Linked DNA regions of Macaca fascicularis. The protein of the gene in region 1 purifies or fractionates together with the protein of each later gene. This does not show direct contact. Links are inferred from orthologs where the notes say so. Each region holds a gene or a part of one and is shown on either strand. Other genes may lie near its edges.

Region 1 (4,405 bases):
CTCAGCAGAGCGTGCACCAATGAGACCACGATGGGAAAGGGCCTATTTAACTCCTAATAAAAAACTGGCATCAGCTTGGTTTTGTTTGATTCTTCTCTGAGGACGTGTCTGCTGAGCTCTTTGCTACTTTCTGGCCTTTTCTACTGCAGGAAGGCAGCTGAGGGCAGGGGCAGGGGCAGGGGCAGGGGGCTCCCCCAGGGAAGTTGCAGACCCTGCAGAAATGCAGTGGCCTCCAGGGTCCAGCAGGAGGGCGTGGGGCCAACACAGGGACCCCTGTCCTCCCTTCCTCTCTCTCTCTCTCTCTGGGGTCTTTGAGAGAGGACCACCTGAGTTTCCCCTGGGACTCAGTGCTCACGGTTGGATGACCTGAGGAGGGTGGGGCCGTGGGCACAGTGGGGGTGTTTGTTCCCTGCCCCGGGCTGTGGGAGCCCAGAAAGCAGCACTAATGGGATTAGGGTGTCTGAGGTGTTTACTCCCAGCCAGGAAGTTGTGCCCTGTGTGGAGGGGGAAGGGGATAACTTGAGGCAGCCCCTATCCCTGAAGCCGCAGTCCCCTGAGGGCCTTAACCCCCTACTTCTAACTCTCACTGAGTTTGTAGCCCACCCTGAGAGGTTGGCTCGAATTCTAACTCCCCTATTTCGTGCCATTTCACCTCTAACTCTCCACCCCAACCTGGATTCTTCATTCCTGACACTCATCCCAACTTGAAATGGCCCCTCCTGATACCCTCTCCGAACCTGAGATCTATCCGTGAGCCCCCACGTGTCACTGCCACTCCATACTCCATCACCACCTCACCCAGGACCTTTCCCACTGACGTTCCTGAAGGGGTCCCAGAGCCTCATTTGGGTGTGAACCTGTTCCCCTCCAGATCCCCCAGCCCTGGCCCTGAGCCTTACTTGGCATGGCAGACAGTACTGGGCATGGAGATCCCTGCCCCATTTTTGTTTTTGAGTCTTTATTTTTTTAAGAGACAAGGTCTGCTGTGTTGCCCAGGCTGGAGAGCAGTGGCTTGAGCATAGCCAACTGCAGTCTCGAACTCCTGGGCTCAAACGATCCTCCTGTTTCAGCTTCCTGACTAGCTGGGACTACAGGCTACAGCCACGCTGCCCGTCTAATTAAAAACAAATTTTGTTTTTCCTTTTTATAGAGACAGAGGTCTCACTATGTTGCCTAGGCTGGTCTTGAACTCCTGGCCTCAGGCGATCCTCCCATCCCCCTCCCTAGCTTTTGTGTCACCACATTTCCAGGGCAATCTCCCATCTGTCACCCACCACCCCCTGCATCTTCTTTCCTAGCTCCCTGATGGAACTACTCCCTCCCTGTCCCCCATGCTCCAGACACAGACTACCCCTTCCTCCACCTCTCTAAAACTCAGGCTGAGCTATGTACACTGGGTGGTGCCTATTGCATCCAGGTCCCTGCTGGTAACTGCTGGGGCTTACCCGTTACCCAAACAAGAGGCTTGGTTGCAAGGCTGGGCTGGTGGAGGGTGCTGTGGCACTTAACACATCAGCCCACAGCAGGAAGGCAGTATCCACTCTCCCCTGTCCCCTGCTATGGGCAGGGCCTGGCTGGGGTATAAATAGGTCAGACCGCTGGGCCGTCCCCATTCTTCCCCTCTCTACAACCCTCTCTCCTCAGCGCTTCTCTCTTGGTTTGGTGAGTTGTGTTGGCCTGATTGGCATGCAAGGAGTGTCAGAGGCCAGGGCTGGGGCAGGAGAAGGGGAAGCTGGTGGGGGCTAGATGTGCTAAAGAGATCCAGATGTGAGACTCTGATGTGGAACTCTGGGTAGAGTGTGTGCGTGGGTGTGCATGTGTGTGGGTGTGCATGTGTGTGGGTGTGCATGTGTGTGGGTGTGCATGTGCACACACACGTGCACGTAAGAGGGAGGAAAAAACCAACAGAAAAGCGAGCAAGTGGCTAGATTTGAGCTCTCCAGGTGCTTCCGAGATGTGGGCTTGCACATGCTGTTGCTATAGTATGTGTTGGTATGTATGTGCCCATGGGTATCTGCACTGGCTCATGTTTGCTGGGTTGCGCACTCGGGAGCAGGAAGCAAAGGAAAGGCAGAAGGCAACTGTGGGCGTTCGTCTGGTGGTGTGCCCCATGAGCCTCTGCCCTGCACGCAGCAGCCCAGCTCAAGAAGGAGCGTGGCCTCTGCACCTTCTCTTCCAACCCTTGCCTCTGCCATCTCACTTTGCCCCTCCCTACGCTGAGCACTAAGCAGCTGGTTTTTTCCGCTGCAGGCCCCTGGGCAGGCCTCCAGCAGCCGCACCCAGTGCTGGGAGGGAGAAGAATGGCCAGGGCGGGGCCTTTGTGGCTGAGCCGTGGGAGTGGATAGACTGAGCGAGGGATGGAAAAAATGCTGTTGTTGAGGCGAGGCCTGGGAGGCCCTGGGAGCTTGCTGCCTGAATCTCCAGAGCCTGCGCAGTGGGTTCTGCAAATGTTCACTGCCCAGAGCATGTGTTCCCCACTGTGCACACCCTCCCCGCCAGGTGCTGGGCCCACTGCTCTGGGCTCCCCCAGGGAGGGAGCAGAGTCTCGCCAAGTGATCCTGGAGGGATGGGAGGGGAGCCTGGCATTCTGAACACATCTCTGAGGGGTGGGGTAAATAAGAGGGTCTCTGTGCCTCCTGCTCCCAGATCCTGACTGCTGTCATGGCGTGCCCTCTGGAGAAGGCCCTGGATGTGATGGTGTCCACCTTCCACAAGTACTCGGGCAAAGAGGGTGACAAGTTCAAGCTCAACAAATCAGAGCTAAAGGAGTTGCTGACCCGGGAGCTGCCCAGCTTCTTGGGGGTGAGTGGGTAGTGCTTGAGTGTGTCCCCACGTGGGGCATTTCCCACAGAGGAGGGCAGCAGTCTTGATCTAGAGCATTAGCTACAGAGGGCATCTATCAGTGGGGTGACTGCCTGGGGTGGAAACACATTGAACACCACCGCTCACTGACTGGCCCCATATGCTGAAAGAGGGCTGAGAATGAATGTGTCAGACACTGCCAGATGCTTTGCACAACTTAACTGAAGGGAAGACTAAGCTCAGAGTGCTAAGTAACTTCCCAAGGTGGTCAGCGTACACAACTGCCATCTGGACCAGGACTGTCTGACTCTTGCCATCACGCCAACAGTGGACACTGTTTGAGTTTCTGTTTGGCTTGTAGATGTGAAGACACAGATGTGGAGATGATCACAGGCCTGCAGACATTCCCCTCAAACACTAACAATGTATATTTGTATCAAACATAATACAGTTTACATATTGCTTTCATGACTATTACTACCTCATGGGATTATTAGAGCAACCTTGGGTGAAAATGTAGTGGTTCCGTCATTTTTCCATTGCACCAGGTACTCAGACTTCCTTATCCAAGGAGTACCTTCTCCATCCTAGCTTAGCCTTGAGGGTTGGAGTTCCAAACTGGACCTCCCAAAGGAGCCTCCCTGAACTCTGGTCTGGCAGTAGAAACTGGGTCTGGTCCTGGCTCTCCCTACTGGGCTTCTGTTTTCTATCTGTAGCCTCTTCTCCCTCCAGAAAAGGACAGATGAAGCTGCATTCCAGAAGCTGATGAGCAACTTGGACAGCAACAGGGACAACGAGGTGGACTTCCAAGAGTACTGTGTCTTCCTGTCCTGCATCGCCATGATGTGTAATGAATTCTTTGAAGGCTTCCCAGATAAGCAGCCCAGGAAGAAATGAAAGCTTCTCTGATGTGGTTGGGGGTTCTGCCAGCTGGGGCCTTCCCTGTCGCCAGTGGGCACAGTGCCCCACCCTGGATCCTTCAGACACGTGCTTGATGCTGAGCAAGTTCAATAAAGATTCTTGGAAGTTTTGAGGCTGATGGTTTGAGAGACTCTGGGGGCATGGGTTGGGGGCTGAGAGAGATGTTGTGGGGTGGTGGTGGGGAGAGCTGAAGTTTTATGGAGAGCAAACCAGTGAAGTCAGGGGAGGGATGCAGGATGACTATGAGTGTATGCACAGGCAATAAAGTTCACTCAGTGAGGTCAAAGCTGAGAAGGGGACCCCATAACCACCCCCTTGTCAAGGTTTGGAAAGCTCCAGCTGTGGGATCTCAGCCAGCCCACTTACCCCTCCCACCTCTCTCCAACCTTGCCTCTGACAGGATCTTGAACCGAGGCTGGAATTGAAGGTCACATCTGTTCCTGGCTGGGGTCTGGAATGGAGTTTGGGTGTCCTGGGAGGAAGTCAGAGGGAAAAGAATAAGACTGAGCTGCAGGGAGGAAGTACTTAGGTGACAGTGGGATGGGGAGGAGGGCTGGCACTTAGTGCTGACATTTACAGTCCAGGCTCTATCCTGCCACCCCCTTCCAGATCCCTGGCTTCAAACCACAGGGATGGATTAGTCCTTTCCTGTCTGTGGTAGGATCAGGGAAGGCAATGTGGA
Region 2 (3,808 bases), on another chromosome or scaffold:
AAAACCAAGCCTTGGCTAGGAACGGTGGCTCAGGCCTGTAATCCCAGCTCTTTGGGAGGCTGAGGCCGGGGGACTCCTTGAGCTTATGAGTTTGAGATAGCCTGGTCAATATAGTGAGACCCTGTCTCTCCAAGAAAAAAAAAAAGAAAAGATGAAAAAAGAAAGCCAAGCCTTGATCATGTCCGCCAATAAGCATCATTTACTCTTCGCTGTCTGCTGAAAGGAAATAGAGAGGGCAGTTTAGCCAATGCCTAAGTGCTTTATCCACAGATAAAGTTCTCAAAACTAAAGAGGAAAGAAATAAATTCTCTGTTTGTAGTATGTGCAGATCAAGTCAATGCAGATCACCTTTTGTAGTGACCCAGCAAGTGCTTGTCAAACTGTGGTTTTCAGAGCCCTGGGGTTCTACAATCCTATCTCAGAGCATCAGGAAGAGAGAGAAACAGGTGGAAGGCAGCTTCATTGGCAAAAAATACTAATTTGGGGTTTTGGGGAAGATTTTGTTCCAAATGGGAAAGTGGGTTCTGACAAGCCCTTGGGGCATATTGGTTTGAGGGGCTCTTCGTTTACTCCAGTTTTCTGAGATTCCCAAGAACGTCCCCCTGCTACAGGCCAGCACAGTGAACTCCTCCTTTTGTTCTTTTTCGCAGGATGATTTACTGTCTTTGAAGGTTGTGAGTGTGCTACACCACCTCAGTATCAAAAGGGCCATCCAGGTCCTAAGGATCAATAACTTTGAACCAAACTGTCTACGGAGGCGGCCATCTGATGAGGTAGCGTTTTAAGATTGAGGTTTATAAGCATGCACTTCCAGGCATGGGACTGTCCATATGTCAAAACTAAGAGCCATTTTTCTTGGAGCTTGCAGGAAAAGTCTTAAAATTCAGCCTCATTTACTTCTTAGGCTTTTTCTGTGTTCCTTCCTTTTCTCTCCATGATGGTTCCACTTGTATAACTAAAGCTAAGGGTTCATTTTCAGTTATGCTTCTTCCTTTTCTTGGGTGTATTTTTTTTCCTGATTCCCTAATCCGCAGAGATAAATATCACTATAAAGACTTCCTTTTCTGGCCAAATGTAGTGGCTCATGCCTATAATCCCAGCACTTTGGGAGGCCAAGTCATATGGATCACTTGAGCCCAGTAGATCAAGACCAGCCTGGGCAATATAGGTAGACCCTGTCTCTACAAAAATAATAGTAATAAAAAATTAGCCAGGCATGGTGGGTGCACGCTGGTGGTCCCAGCTACTCAGGAGGCTAAGGTCGGAGGATCTGCCCAAGCCTGGGAGATGGAGGCTGCAGTGAGCCCTGATTACACCGCTACAACTCCAGCCTGGGTAAGAGAGTTAGACCCTGTCTTAAAAAAACAAAAACAAAACAAAGAAACAAAAAAAGTCCTTTCCTAAACCAATGCTTTATTAGTATATAAGAAAACTTGAAACACAAACTATGACAGAAATTCTTTAAAAGAGAATTTTTCCCTTTCTTTATGCATTTAGTGGGATGTTGAGTAACTGTACCCCATGGAGCAGACTTTTTAGACAGAAAATGCAATTTAATACTTAGGATCTTGGTTGTGTGTTCCCACAGAATACCATCGCCCCCTCAGAAGTTCAGAAGTGGACTAACCATCGAGTGATGGAGTGGCTGCGCTCCGTGGACTTGGCAGAATATGCCCCCAATCTCAGAGGCAGCGGTGTCCATGGTGGGCTCATGGTAAAGCTCTGATTTAATTTCAAACTGACTTACTTTGTTTCCTTTAGTCTAGTGAGTAGGATAGTATCAATTTTTGCTTATCATAATCCTAAAGTCATCTGACGCAACCCTCCTGCCCTATTTCTAGTAAATCTTTACTTTCAGAGTATTTGTATTGATATCTTATAACTCTGGATTGAATTTAAAGCCGGTTCTCTTTTATTGTCCTCTTTCATGTCAAATAACATGTAGCTTCTTCCTCTCATATGATCATGTTTGAAAACCCCTGCAAGGATGCAGATTGTATTTCTGCACATTGATATTGCATAAGGAGTTGGCTGCCACGGACAGCACCCCAGAGAGGTAGAGGACTGATATTGGGATGCCAGAATCCTGGATTTCAGGACCAGCTCTATCACTCACTAGCTTGGGCAAAATGGAGAAAAGATATGTAAATTAAAGATCAAAGTCCATATGGTGTCTACCTCACCAGGCTGTTGAGAGGATCATTGGAGATAACCTAAGAGAAAGAGCTTTGCAAATTATAAAGCACAATACAAACATGTATGATTTGTGGTGACTTTTGACAAGCTTATTTTTTTTTAACAGGTTCTAGAGCCTCGTTTTAATGTAGAAACAATGGCTCAGTTATTGAACATCCCACCCAATAAGACTTTGCTGCGAAGACATTTGGCCACTCATTTCAACCTTCTGATTGGGGCTGAGGCACAGCACCAGAAGCGAGATGCCATGGAGCTGCCGGATTATGTACTTCTAACAGCTACTGCCAAAGTGAAGGTTGGTTCAGGCTCATACAGTTTAATAATTGCTTGGCGCAAAGGCAACATTTTGTCTGTTACCTGTTTATTCTGTTTTCTGGGGTTTGCCAAGTTTTGTGGATGAGTTCCTTACCAGCAGATGCAGGAATCCTCAGCGCTTAGTTGTCTTGGGAGAAAGATGTTGGCCGAGAGACAGTTCACAGATAGCAGAGAGCTTTATTGAAGGGAAATAGGGAGCAAAGAGCTTATTGTAAGAAAAAAAAAAAAATACAGGGGCTGATCCTGCAGGGAAAACAACAGGGTCGCAGTAGCAGTGTTTATGTAAAGGGACAGTACACTCCAAAACCCGAGGCACAGCGGGCTGCTGAAAGAGAAAAGAGGCCAGGAGTTGTGCGTCGGGTTTGTATGATGTCCAGTTTTTTCTTGAAGCTCTCGCCTCTGTGTTAAGTCCCTGCCTTTTTTATCTCGTTTTCCTGCTCCTGCCTTAAGTCCTTGCCTTTTCCCTGCCTAGTTCCCATCCTAGGTTTGTGGGACCCTCCCTTACTATAGTTGGTGCACATGCGTGGGCTGGATGTTGGCTGCAATTCTACCTAAAGGCTGCATTGCTCATTCCCGCCGCCCCCAGGAAGGTTGTATAACAGTCAAATCTATACGTACTGTGCCTGCATTTCTCTTAGGCATTCTCCTTTGCCCTCTTGCCTTCTTTATCGGCATGCAGCTAGCTAAATTCTGGCAGGTGAACTGCAGAGTGAGTGATTATTGAGCATCTTAAGGGATGTTCCTTTCTCCACAGGTATTTCTCCTCCTCCTCCTCGCTGCTCATAGGGAGCATGCATGTTTTGGGTGGTTTCTGGGGTGTGAGATTTTTCCGGACCTCTCTTTTCTCAGGGGCTTCCCCTCATGTCTGGCTATCTGCCTACTCTAACAAATTGAAGAAACAGTTGACCCTTGAAGAACATGAGTTTGAATTGCACAGGTCCACTCCTACTCAGATTTTTTTTTTTTTCAAGCAAATGTGGAGGGATGCAAAACCCACATCTAGGGAGGCTCGACTTTTTAGGTACACGGGTACGCTGGACTTGAGTATGTACGGATTTTGGTATACATGGGGATCTTGGAACTAATGTTCACTGAGGGACAACTGAGTATATATCTTTTAAAAGTATAATAATTAAGGGAAGGTACCCAGATAGCTCAGGCAGTAGAGCATCAGACTTTTAATCCGAGGGTCCAAGGTTCATGTCCCTTTTTGAGTGCTCCCTCTTAGGTGGGCATGGTGGCTCATGCCTGTAATCCCAGTGCATTGGGAAGCCAAGGCAGGAGGATCATGTGAGTC

Evidence for each region.
Region 2: the proteins of S100A4 (region 1) and liprin-beta-1 purify together in Homo sapiens (co-immunoprecipitation; 3 studies listed by BioGRID and IntAct, with this or other methods). This does not show direct contact. The link is inferred for Macaca fascicularis from reciprocal best matches to the Homo sapiens genes S100A4 and PPFIBP1.

What each region holds. Positions count from the first base shown.
Region 1 is NC_088375.1:107,615,950-107,620,354, forward strand, and holds S100A4 (protein S100-A4), read left to right. Parts: upstream 1-1,611; 5' UTR 1,612-1,662; intron 1,663-2,646; 5' UTR 2,647-2,661; coding exon 2,662-2,802; intron 2,803-3,534; coding exon 3,535-3,699; 3' UTR 3,700-3,833; downstream 3,834-4,405. UniProt on the Homo sapiens protein: Calcium-binding protein that plays a role in various cellular processes including motility, angiogenesis, cell differentiation, apoptosis, and autophagy.
Region 2 is NC_088385.1:30,431,084-30,434,891, forward strand, and holds part of liprin-beta-1, read left to right. Parts: intron 1-650; coding exon 651-773; intron 774-1,588; coding exon 1,589-1,714; intron 1,715-2,302; coding exon 2,303-2,491; intron 2,492-3,808. UniProt on the Homo sapiens protein: May regulate the disassembly of focal adhesions. Did not bind receptor-like tyrosine phosphatases type 2A.